Rattus norvegicus: one gene and its partners. The protein of the gene in region 3 binds, or shares a complex with, the protein of the main gene of each other region. Links are inferred from orthologs where the notes say so. Each region holds a gene or a part of one and is shown on either strand. Other genes may lie near its edges.

Evidence for each region. The genes of interacting proteins can lie anywhere in the genome.
Region 1: the proteins of Crebbp (region 3) and Irf3 are in contact, whole or in part, in a crystal structure (PDB 5JEM), measured with the Homo sapiens proteins. The link is inferred for Rattus norvegicus from reciprocal best matches to the Homo sapiens genes CREBBP and IRF3. Residues at the interface, in NP_004371.2 of Homo sapiens: Leu2070, Thr2073, Leu2074, Lys2075, Ser2076, Ser2079, Gln2081, Gln2082, Gln2084, Gln2085, Val2086, Asn2088, Ile2089, Leu2090, Asn2093, Gln2095, Leu2096, Ala2099, Phe2100, Gln2103; in NP_001562.1 of Homo sapiens: Pro198, Gly199, Glu200, Glu201, Trp202, Glu203, Ser221, Leu322, Ile326, Leu329, Ile330, Thr333, Thr370, Cys371, Leu372, Ala374, Leu375, Glu377, Met378, Ala379, Val381, Gly382, Gly383, Ala384.
Region 2: the proteins of Crebbp (region 3) and Ppara are in contact, whole or in part, in a crystal structure (PDB 9IWL), measured with the Homo sapiens proteins. The link is inferred for Rattus norvegicus from reciprocal best matches to the Homo sapiens genes CREBBP and PPARA. Residues at the interface, in NP_004371.2 of Homo sapiens: Asp62, Ala63, Ala64, Lys66, His67, Lys68, Gln69, Leu70, Ser71, Leu73, Leu74, Arg75; in NP_001001928.1 of Homo sapiens: Val284, Thr285, Thr288, Glu289, Lys292, Phe297, Leu302, Asn303, Gln305, Val306, Thr307, Leu309, Lys310, His457, Pro458, Leu459, Glu462, Ile463.

Annotation. Positions count from the first base shown.
Region 1 is NC_086019.1:104,615,316-104,619,407, reverse strand, and holds the start of Irf3 (interferon regulatory factor 3), read right to left. Parts: upstream 2,801-4,092; 5' UTR 2,699-2,800; intron 2,397-2,698; exon of another isoform or gene 2,359-2,396; coding exon of another isoform or gene 2,258-2,358; intron 2,023-2,257; exon of another isoform or gene 1,970-2,022; coding exon of another isoform or gene 1,936-1,969; coding exon 1,771-1,935; intron 612-1,770; coding exon 440-611; intron 349-439; coding exon 275-348; intron 124-274; coding exon 1-123. Other genes in the region: Bcl2l12 (bcl-2-like protein 12), read left to right, coding at 3,718-3,824, 4,009-4,092.
Region 2 is NC_086025.1:118,711,138-118,715,406, forward strand, and holds the start of Ppara (peroxisome proliferator-activated receptor alpha), read left to right. Parts: upstream 1-1,469; 5' UTR 1,470-1,720; intron 1,721-2,413; 5' UTR 2,414-2,500; intron 2,501-4,269. UniProt on the Homo sapiens protein: Ligand-activated transcription factor. Key regulator of lipid metabolism. Activated by the endogenous ligand 1-palmitoyl-2-oleoyl-sn-glycerol-3-phosphocholine (16:0/18:1-GPC). Activated by oleylethanolamide, a naturally occurring lipid that regulates satiety.
Region 3 is NC_086028.1:11,964,340-11,966,552, reverse strand, and holds part of Crebbp (histone lysine acetyltransferase CREBBP), read right to left. Parts: coding exon 1,032-2,213; 3' UTR 1-1,031. UniProt on the Homo sapiens protein: Acetylates histones, giving a specific tag for transcriptional activation. Mediates acetylation of histone H3 at 'Lys-18' and 'Lys-27' (H3K18ac and H3K27ac, respectively).

The DNA.
Region 1 (4,092 bases), on a different chromosome or scaffold from region 3:
GAAGTTGTTTACAATGGGGCTTAGTGGTGGTTGAGAAGGATCAGAAGCAATAGGCAGGTCTGAGGACCCCTCATCTGGGAGGGGTCCCAAGGCCATGTGATCGAGTAATTCCAAGAGGTCTTCCTGGAGGAGGAAGGAGCTAGTCAACAGCTTCAGCTGAGCCAGAGGGTAGCAGATTGGTGGGAATGGAGGTCCAGGGGTAAGGGCTGGGGTGGGAAGAAGGTGAGGCCTAATGGATGGGGCAAGGCTGGGCACAAGACTAGTGTCTCCTCACCTGGTGATCAGACAGACTGCTTTTGCCATTGGTGTCAGGGGAGGTGTCCAGATGTACAAAGTCCCTTGCTCCTCCTGTCCAGAGTGGAAGTGAGCAGAGTAAGTGGCAGAGATCTTCCAGACCCCACGGTTCCTGTGACCCCCAAGCCAGCCTTGTTACACACACCTGGAGTCACAAACTCATACACTTTATGAGGGTCAAAAGGGTCCTTGCTCCGGTCCTCAGCTAATCGCAACACTTCTTTCCGGTTCAGGGCTGACCGGAAATTCCTCTTCCAGGTTGACAGGTCTGGCTTATCCTTCCCTGGGGTGTAGGCACCACTGGCTTCCGCCCAGGCCTGATACATCAGTGATTCCAGGACAGTAGGGAAGACTACTTAGACACCTCCCACCATATTCCATACATTTCTGGTTCCTGACCTAAGTTCTCACATTCATAGAGCCCCTAGGACTTCTGTCCCGACCTCATCCTTATCTATATTTTCCACACTTTAGAAAAATATTTTTGAATATGAGACAGGGTCTCACACATTATAACAAAGGTAGGCTCCAAGTTTCGACCCTCTAGCTGCCACTTCCAGAGTGCTGGGATTACAAACGTATGCCACACATCCACCTTCAAGCCTTTTGATTTTGGTTTGTTTTTTTTTTTTAGGTTTATTTATTATAGACGAGTACACGTAGCTGTCCTCAGATGTGCCAGAAAAGGGCATCAGATCTCATTACAGATGGTTGTGAGACACCATGTGGTTGCTGGGATCTGAACTCAGGACCTCTGGAAGAGCAGTCAGTGCTCCCAACCGCTGAGCCATCTCTCCAACCCAAGCCTTTTGTTTTTTAAGCCAGTATTCTAGGACCTACTTGGTACCTCACCCCACATTCTGTTACTACCATGCTGATCTGGTAGCTAATAACCCCATCCTGAGGGCTGTTCCAATTCTTAAGATTTAAGGGATCTAAAATCAAGAGCCCACCCCCCCCCCGAGATTTCCCATCCTCTAATAAAAGAGCTGTTCTCAACTATCCGAATACAGATCCTCATGATGTAGTGAGTCCCCAGCCCCAAATTTTTTTCATTGCTACTTCAAAACTGTAATTTTGCTGTTATAAATCTTTTTTTTTTTTTTTTTTTTCCGGAGCTGGGGACCGAACCCAGGGCCTTGCTAGGGCCTTGCTCCTGCTAGGCAAGCGCTCTACCACTGAGCTAAATCCCAACCCCAGCTGTTATAAATCTTAATGTGAATATCTGTTTTCCAATGAAAGGCCCGTTCAACCCCCAAAGGGGTTGCGTCCCACAGATTGAGAACCATTGCTCCAGAACAGTTTTTTAGAGACACAACCTGGCTTTCAGAATTCTATTCCTGGAATCTGCCAATCAATTCCGGGCTGTCCCTCCAAGTCTATCCCACCTAATTAGCAAGACCCAGCCCTGTCTAGTCACGCCCATAAATGCCTCTGAAGTCTCAACGCCCCCCCCCGCCCCCTCCCCCCCAGCACCTGGAAGATGCCAAAGTCAGCCATCTGTGCGTCCTGTCGTAAGCCATGCTTCCATGGGATCCTGAACTTTGTACGGCTCTCGTCCAGCCAGGCCACACCTTTCAGCTGTCCCAGGTCCAGCTGAGACACCAGCCAAGGCAAAATCAGCGGTTTCGGGGTTCCCATGATCCAGCCTGCGCATACAGTGCAGTTCCTGAGCCTGTATGTCAAGGGGCAAATGCACTCAAACCTCTCCGACCCGATACAGCACAGGCCTTCCTTCACCCTGTTTTCCTGTGTACAAACGGGAAACTCCTTCCCACCTTTCCAATTCCAACGGGACCGCCTATCCTACCCCACAGTTTTCCATAGGTTCTTTCCCTTTTCTAAATGTAAACCCCTATTACTCAAAGCAAGTACCCCATTTCCAGGGTGGAGTCCTCTTTCCCTGTCTTTAAAGAATCATGACTGTTCTCACACCCACCTCACCCTTGCAGAAAACCCTTACTCATTTCCAGAGTCTTCTCCCAGCTGCTGTCGCTTCTTCTGCTTTGTCTTTTCTACATTGTTTTTATGGATGTTTTGAGACAGGGTCTTAGTATGGAGCATAGGCTGTCCTCGAACTTGCTATGTAGCCATGATTGGTCTTCAACTCACTGTGTGGCCCAGGCTGGCCTCGAATGCACTCTGTAACCCAAGCTACCCTCAAACTTATTCAGTAGCTCAGGCTGGTCTTCAACTCGCTTAACCCATGCTGGTTTGGAGCTCATTCTGTGGTTCAGCCTGGCCTGGAGCTCACTGGCCTCGAACTTGCAGCAATCTTTACTGCCTCCAGTCTGGATGCTGAGACTGCAGGCTTCCGTCTACAACGCGTAACCATTCTGGTTTTCGGTAGCCGAGCTCCTGTGCCCTGAGGCCGCCACCCTCCCGGTTCTTCCGCGTTACCTACCAGGGGAGGAATTGCGCGCTCGTGGGGCGCGGGTGTCAGCACTGGTTTTGGGGCTCCCAAACAGTAGTTGAGACTCGCAGCCACGCAACCCCCTTCTTTGTCAACTAAGCTTCCGAGCGTTGGGACTTTCCTTTCTAATGGTATTTTGAGATAAAAAAAAAATTTCTCATCATTTACTTTAAGAAAAGTCAGAAAACCTAGGAGCACACTCCGACTGAACCGGCCTAACTCCCTCAATGCCCTTTTTTGGCCTTCCGCCTACAGGCATGCTGGGAACGCCATATGCAAATGATGCAACACAGCGCTCCGCCCCCTCGACGTTGGGGCGGTTACCGTGTCGGCCCAGTGCGCAGGCGCGGGAAAGTTGAACTTCGGAAGTAAAGTTTGTAGAAATTGAGTGAAAGCGTGTGTGCGCCAGTACGACTGAGGCAGAACCCCGATCCAGGTGAGCGGGGTACCAGGGAGGGAGCTAGGTTGCAGGAGAGGTCACAGCCAGTCCTGTCTCTCTGACTTCCAAGCACGGAGGTCTCCTGGTGCCCGCCAGAGGTCATTGGAACTACATCTCCCAGCAGGCTGCTCGGTGAAAAAGAGGGGAAACCCGGCTAGCGTTTGCCGCAAAGCGTACTAGGATTAGTAGTTCCCTATTCTCTAGGGTCTTCGAGACTCCTTCAGCACTCAGGGCTCCCTTCCTGCTCCTGCATGTAAGAGTCCAAGCACTCAGTTACGTCCTTTCTTTCTTTCTTTCTTTTTTTTTTTCTTTTTTTTCGGAGCTGGGGACCGAACCCAGGGCCTTGCGCTTGCTAGGCAAGCGCTCTACCACTGAGCTAAATCCCCAACCCCTACGTCCTTTCTTAGATTCAATAATTCAGGCCCTTTCTCCTCAACGGAATCAACTGCCCCACTGGCCCTTAAGCCACCTTTTCCTTGGAGTAAGGTGTCCTCTTCATTCAGTGATTGAATGAAGTTTGAGTTATCACTCCATTTGGGTACATTCTCTGTCTTCTGCTTCAGGTACCTCCATGGCCGGCTCTGAAGAGTTGGGTCTCCAAGAGGACACACTGAAGGTTCTGACTGCCTTCCTTAGGCGCGGTGAAACTGCTGGGTCCCCTGTCCCAACTCCACCCAGGTGAGATACTATTCCACTCCCCCAGGGCCAGCCTTTGATCAGAAGATCTTCCTGAGTCTAGTGGTCTACTCCCTTCATACCTAACCCCATATGTCTGTCCCAAGCTTCAAGAATCTTCCACGAGAGGACGAAGGGATTGTTTGCTCAGAACCCTCTGGGATAACTCTGAGGTTCTTGCCCCTAGGAGCCCTGCCCAAGAAGAGACAACAGATTTCCTGAGCCGACTCCGAAGATGCCTCCCTTGTCCCCTGGGGCGAGAAGCTCCTCC
Region 2 (4,269 bases), on a different chromosome or scaffold from region 3:
TGTTCTGTGGGTGTCTGGCAGGTGGGGCAAAGTTCGCCACAGGTATGAGGCTGATCAGCAAAGGTGGGTTTTAAAGACGTTCCTGAATGTGCCTGTAGGGTCTGGTTCCAGTTCCCAGGGTGAAGAGATGTGCGCTGAAAGTTTCCTTTCCCTAGTAGGCTTTCCTGGTCGCTCATCGCCACAAATAGCATAGTGGCAGGCCCAGCGTGAGGACAGACAGGAGGGCTGGCATAGCACACATTTCATTCCCAAAGGAGCAGCGTCCTGAGGCGTTGGCACCCCGGGGGCTATGTGCATTCCGTGATCAGAGATCCAGGGGTGAAGCAAACAAAGCGGTTGCTCCCAGTCGCAGCCTGCCCCCTGCGCTGTCAGTTGGCAGAGTCCCAGTGCCTGAGCTGGACATAGTCAGCCCCTCAACTTCCCCCTTCCCCCAGCGTACACAGAGGGGCCGCAGCCCGGGGCGGGGCAGAGGCGGAGGGTCGAAGCGGCCGCGCCTCCCCGCGACCGTCCTCGATGCCCTTCAGCCTCTGCCTTCCCCGCCCGCCACACCCACCCTGGCACCTCCGACACCTGTTGCCGCGTGCCCCAGCTCGCTCTTCCTTTCTCCCCATTTCGCATCCTGGGGCTCTGAAGATCAGATCCCGCCTGCCCGCCCGCCACCCCACGAAGTCCCGGGACTCGGGGCACGCGCTCCACGATCTAGACCAGTTCACCGAGGGCACCCGGTGGGAAGCTCTACCAGACCCGCAGCCTTGAACTTCAGTTCTGGCCGGTGCGCGGGGCTGGGAGCAGAAAGGCGCGCTCGCCCAGGCGCGCCCTTCCCACAGGGCTGTCTCGCCCGTCGGGTGACCTTGGGCAGTCCCTTCACCTAGCCAGCCTCAGTTTACCAACAGATGCCCGAGCCCCGAGGCACTAAATGGGCATCGAGGAGAACTGCCCAGGGCCTCTTAGGCCCCGCCCTCACAGCAGCGGCCAATCAGATGCTGCCGTCCGGGGGGTGTGTCTCGTTCTGAACCGCGGCCCGGGCCTAGAGGGCGGGGTTTCCGGGGCGGTCACCTCGCCGCGGGACCCCGCAGGGGACGTCCGAGGGGCGGCGCGTGTCGTGGGGGCGCGGCTGGCACGGGCGCGCGTAGGCGGTGCCGGGCAGGGGCCCCGGACGCTGCGGCCCCACGACAGGGGTGACGGGGGCGGAGACAGCCGCTCGAGCCCCTCCTGGCGCCGCCTACCCGGGCGGGCTGGCCCTGCGGACCCGCAGGCGGAGCGCAGCCTCAGGTGCCCAGGGGCGGGAGGGCACGCGCGAGGACGGGAGCCAGGCGTCCCCCGTCCCGGGACAGTGAGGTGGGTGGACAGGGAGGGGAGGGGCTCGGTGGCGCATGCGCGTGGACCAGGGGCGCGGGTCTGGAGACCCACAGCCACTGGCGAGGGCACACGCTAGGAAGGGCACACGCGTGCGACTTTCGGGGCCCCTGGAACTGTCCGCTACTTCGAGTCCCCTTGAGCGCCGTGTGCCGGCTCTGAACATTGGCGTTCGCAGCTGTTTTGTGGGCTGGAGGGTTCGTGGAGTCCTGGAACTGAAGCGACGCTGGGTCCTCTGGTTGTCCCCTTGAGGGGAGGGCACACGAGCGGGGACATCGGGGCGCTCCCTTCCCACAGCGTGGTGCATTTGGGCGTAACTCACCGGGAGGCGTTTCCTGAGACCCTCGGGGATCTTAGAGGCGAGGTAACTCGAGGCCCCGGGACAGACTGATTCTGGGGTCACTGAGTCTAGCCACTGCTGGGGATCTGGAGGAACACCGGTGGGTTCAGCCGACTCGCTTTGAACACCGGTTTCCTCATTGAGGCTGACCTTAGTGGGGCGGTGTGAACAGGCCCCAGCAGTACGGTAGAGACGATGCCAAAGCTACCCCTATGTCTCTGCCCTCCAGAGCCCAGTGCCACAGCCGGTCCTGTGTGGGGCCAGCTTTAGTCTCTACTCTGTGCAGTGCCTGCGCGGCTGACCTGCTATGGATAAAGGGAGCCGGGAGTGTCTGTGTGTTAGTCGGGGAGGGTGATTCTGCCCCAGTACCTCTCCAACTAGCCTGGAATAACTGCACCTCTCCTTTCCCAAACTTTTTTTTTCTCGGAGAGAATGTTAGGATTCTAAGGAAAATCCACAGTGATAAATAATGTCTTTGGAGGGGGGGGCACTCTGCCACTGGGGTGCTCCCCCAACCCCAGCCCACTCCCTTCCTCTTAGGAAAGGCCTCTCCTGTCCTAGCTCTTCCTGGGGGAGGAGCACAGAACTTTCTTGGGCGACCCTGGACACTGCGGTGGTTGCAGGCAACAGGGTCACAGTGACTTTCCCAAGGTGGTGGAGAGTTGGGGGGGATCCAGAGAACATATTGTAACTGGTTCCTTCCTTAACGTTCTATAGCCAAGACTGAAGTTCAAGGCCCTGCCTTCCCTGTGAACTGACATTTGTGACTGGTCAAGCTCAGGACACAAGACGTTGTCATCACAGGTAAGAGGGGTTGACGGACGGCTTTCAGTCTGGAATATTGTAAACGCTGTCATAAGTTGTACTTCAGACTAGCAACAGGTGTAGTAGCTATTTTGTGGTGAAATAGTAAATGTCTTCTCAGGGAAGCCAGGTAAATGGGTGGTCCACATTTCAGTACTGATGGAATGTGTTTTTTTCCTGGGAACTTCATTTCTTTGCGGCTTCAGTGTAGTTTAGAAAGAGGTGTTATTGCATCTGGCTATGAACTGACTCGGAAGACTGTCTCTTGGCTGTCTTCATATCAATTCGGCTAAGTAGTTGGTTCGTTTCATCACTAGCTAGTGCAGGGATGGTCCCCAAGAAACAGCCAGATAAACATTACTTGGTGACCATATGAAAACCCAGAGTCGGTGGGCCTATGATACATGAACTGACCGTAGAAAGCAAAGGGTCTCTTTTCCAACACTTAAACATGTATGGAAACACACCAGACTCATAGAGTTTGTTAGGAGGGCAGGAGCCTGCTACGTAGCCTGTGCTAGTCTGGAAGTTGCTGTGTAGCAAAGGCTAGCCTTGAACTCTTTATATTCCTACCTCAGCCTCCCAAGTACTGAAGGCTGAAGTAGTTCTGTTTAACTGATGTTTGTCAAGCCTAGAAACAGAGTTCTAAAAAGTGTGTGTGTGTGTGTGTGTGTATGTGTGTGTACATGTGTGTATGAGTGTATATGTGTGTATGTGTCAATGTGTGTATGTGTTTGTATGTGTGTGTTTGTGTCAAGGTGTGTATGTGTATTGTGTGTCTCAGTATATATGTGTATATGCATGTGTCTATGTGTATGTATGTATGTAAGGGGTGGGAAGAGAATGAGAGAAGAGAAAGCATGTTTCTAATTTGTTTTATTAACTATTAAGTTGAGAAAAATATTTTCATGTGAATGTGAGAAACAACATATTTTTGCCTCAAGTGTGTGTCTAATAACTCACTAGGTTTACATACGGTATTTAGCCAATGCATATATAGACATATGTTAGTATATAATTCATTCATTTGATTCATGCTTATTGCATAGCTTCCTGGGGCAGGGGCCACTATGCCATTCCTAAACAAGAGAGCTATGAACTTGCTATGAGACTGATTTCCATGCTGGAATTAGAGGAAACTTGAAGCCAGGTGGTGGTGGTGCATGCCCTTAATCCCAGCACTCCAGAGGCAGAGGCAGGCGGATTTCTGAGTTTGAGGCCAGCCTGGTCTACAGAGCGAGTTAGTTCCCAGACAACCAGAGCTACACCAAGAAACCCTGTCTTGGGGGTGGGGAGAAGAAGAAGAAAGAAATGAACGTGAGGGCTAGGGCTGTGGTTCCATTGGTGGAGGGCTTGCCAATCATGCACAAGGCCCTTGGTTTGATCCTCAGCCCCTCATAAACCAGGTGCAGCACAGTCCATGCCCGTGATCCCGGCACTGTGGAGACAGAGGCAGGAGAGACAAAAGCATATGATACCTTTGAGGCTATGCCAGGCTACGTGAGAACCTTGTCTCAAAAACAAATCAATAGCCAGGCATGGTGACACATTCTTTTAATCCTTGTACTCCGGAGGCAGATGCAGAAGCAGGAGGTTCTCTGTGAGTTCAAGGCCAGTTTGGTCTACACAGAGAGCTTGGGGCTGGCCAATGAGACCCTCTCTAAAAAACAAAACAAAACAAAACAAAACAAAAATAAAGCAAACAAGCAAACAAAAAAAGAGAGAAATTCATAACTATCCTCCTGATGGTTAATAGATGAAGAAACTGA
Region 3 (2,213 bases):
GGTACGTTACCATTCTATACAGTGATTGAATCTTCTTGAATTTTCTTATTTATAGTAATTATAGCGCTTGCATGATTTACACTAGAATTGCTTTTCCTCATTTCAAGTTTCACATAGAAGAAAGAAAAGAATGCTTCTTCTCTATTAACATTAGCATGGTCTAAGAGAGTGATCATCCCTATTTTTGTCTAAAACCAGTTTTATCAGAGAAACAAAGCAACAATTTCTACATCTGCAAGACAAGAGGCTGGCTTAAGCCAGCATGTATAGATAGATGTGTGTGGGTGTGTACATGTGTGCACGCCGGAGTCAATTCCTATCGTCCAGGGGTAATACTTGGAGATGCCCACAGAGTTCACTATAGAAAAAAATCTTCCCGCAACATCAGCTCGTTATCGGGACACATTATAAGATGCATTATTTCTGGAACCAGTTTCTGAGTATTATTTTTCTTCTCACTTTTAAACATAAATGTTTAAGTCTTGAAAATACAAATAAAAAATATGAATATAATGAACTTGTTTTTCCCGTTAAAAAAAGGCATGAGTCACCAGCAATGACGACAAAAAGAATCCAAACAACCCCCCACCCCCCAAAAACAAAACAGAAAAAAAAGAGAAAAAAAGCTGAGAGAAAGAGAGAGAGAGAGACACCAGATATTTAAATCAACTGGTTTTTAACAAAAAATATATTCTTTGTATTGTTTCTTTAAACATCAATCTGCCCTTCCATGCTTGGGAGTCACAGTCCCATCTAGGCTTAATAAAAAGAGCCCAAATGTCTGGATTTTCAGTACAAAAAGTCCAAAAACATGAAAGGGGGGGGGGGGGGGGAAGAAAAACAACAAAACAAAAACCAAAAAAAAAAAAAAAAAAAACCCCCCCAAAAAAAACCCCAAAAAAAACCAAAAAAGAAAAAAAACCAAAAAAAAAAAAAAAAAAAAAAAAAAAGAGGGAGAAAAAAAAAAAAAAAAGACCCAAAAAATCCCCAAAACAAAAACAAAAAAACAAACACCCAATGCTCTCATAATGCTACAAGCCCTCCACAAACTTTTCTAGCGTGTCTCCCGTGGTATCACCAACCAGGGACAGTTCACTGGACAGCGCGCTCCTGTTGGGGGTATTCAGCTGGGGGAGCATTGCACTCTGTTCAGGGTTCCCCAGGTGTCCCTGATCCATGGAGCTGGCCATGGTGACTGCAAGTCCAGGGTGAGGGGAACCAGTCTGGGGTGAAACATGGTGTGGTGAAGGCTGGGGCTGTATCCGTGGTGACGGGCTGGAATGTGGAGGTTGGGATTGGGGCCGTGGAGACTGCACAGGGGCTGGAGACCGCACCTGGTTACTAAGGGATGTGGCGATCTGCTGGCCAGGGAGATGTGAAGCCTGTGGCTGTCCTGAGAGCATGTGCTGCTGGGGGCTCATGGGGTTCGGCTGGCCTGGTGACCCAATTTGTTGCTTCATCTGCTGCTGCTGCAGAATCCGCTGCTGCAGGGCCTGCTGGATATTAGGGGTGCTGTCTGCCCCTAGCCCAGGCTGCCCCATCTGGCCAAGTTGTCCCATTGGAGCAGCCATCTGGCCCATGGAGCTGCCCTGGATGGGGAGGTGCTGTTGCATGCGTTGCTGCTGCATGGCTGGGGCGTAGCCTCCAGGTCCTTGTGGCTGCTGGAACTGGCTGTGTCCTGCCATGCCCCCGGCCAAGCTGGCACTGCTTTGTTGCTGTTGCTGTTGCTGCTGCTGCTGCTGCTGCTGCTGCTGCTGCTGTTGGTGCTGTAGCAGCTGTCTTCTCACCATTTCTCGGTACTGCGGATTCATGTTCGCCATGTTGGGGTTGTGTCCCGGGTTCATGATATTCAGAGCCTGACCCTGGGGGTTCAGGCCTCCCATTGCCTGCTGTGGTGGAGGCACACCAGGCCGTGGCACACCAGCTTGCATTGCGTTCAGGTTTTGCAGGCTGGGCTGCTGGTGCATGCCAGGCTGGGGCTGCATACCAGGCTGGGATTGAAGTCCGGGCTGGGGCTGCATGCCAGGCTGATTGGCCACATACTTGGCTGTGCGCTGTTTGATGAAAGCTGCCATTAGCTGTGGGTTTGATTTGAGGATGTTCAGCACCTGCTGCTGCTGCTGAGGAGAGCTGGGTGACTTTAGGGTCCGAAGCAGGTCTTGCAGGGCACTTGGCGAGATGCTCCTTGGTGGCTGTACATTGGGCATCCGTGG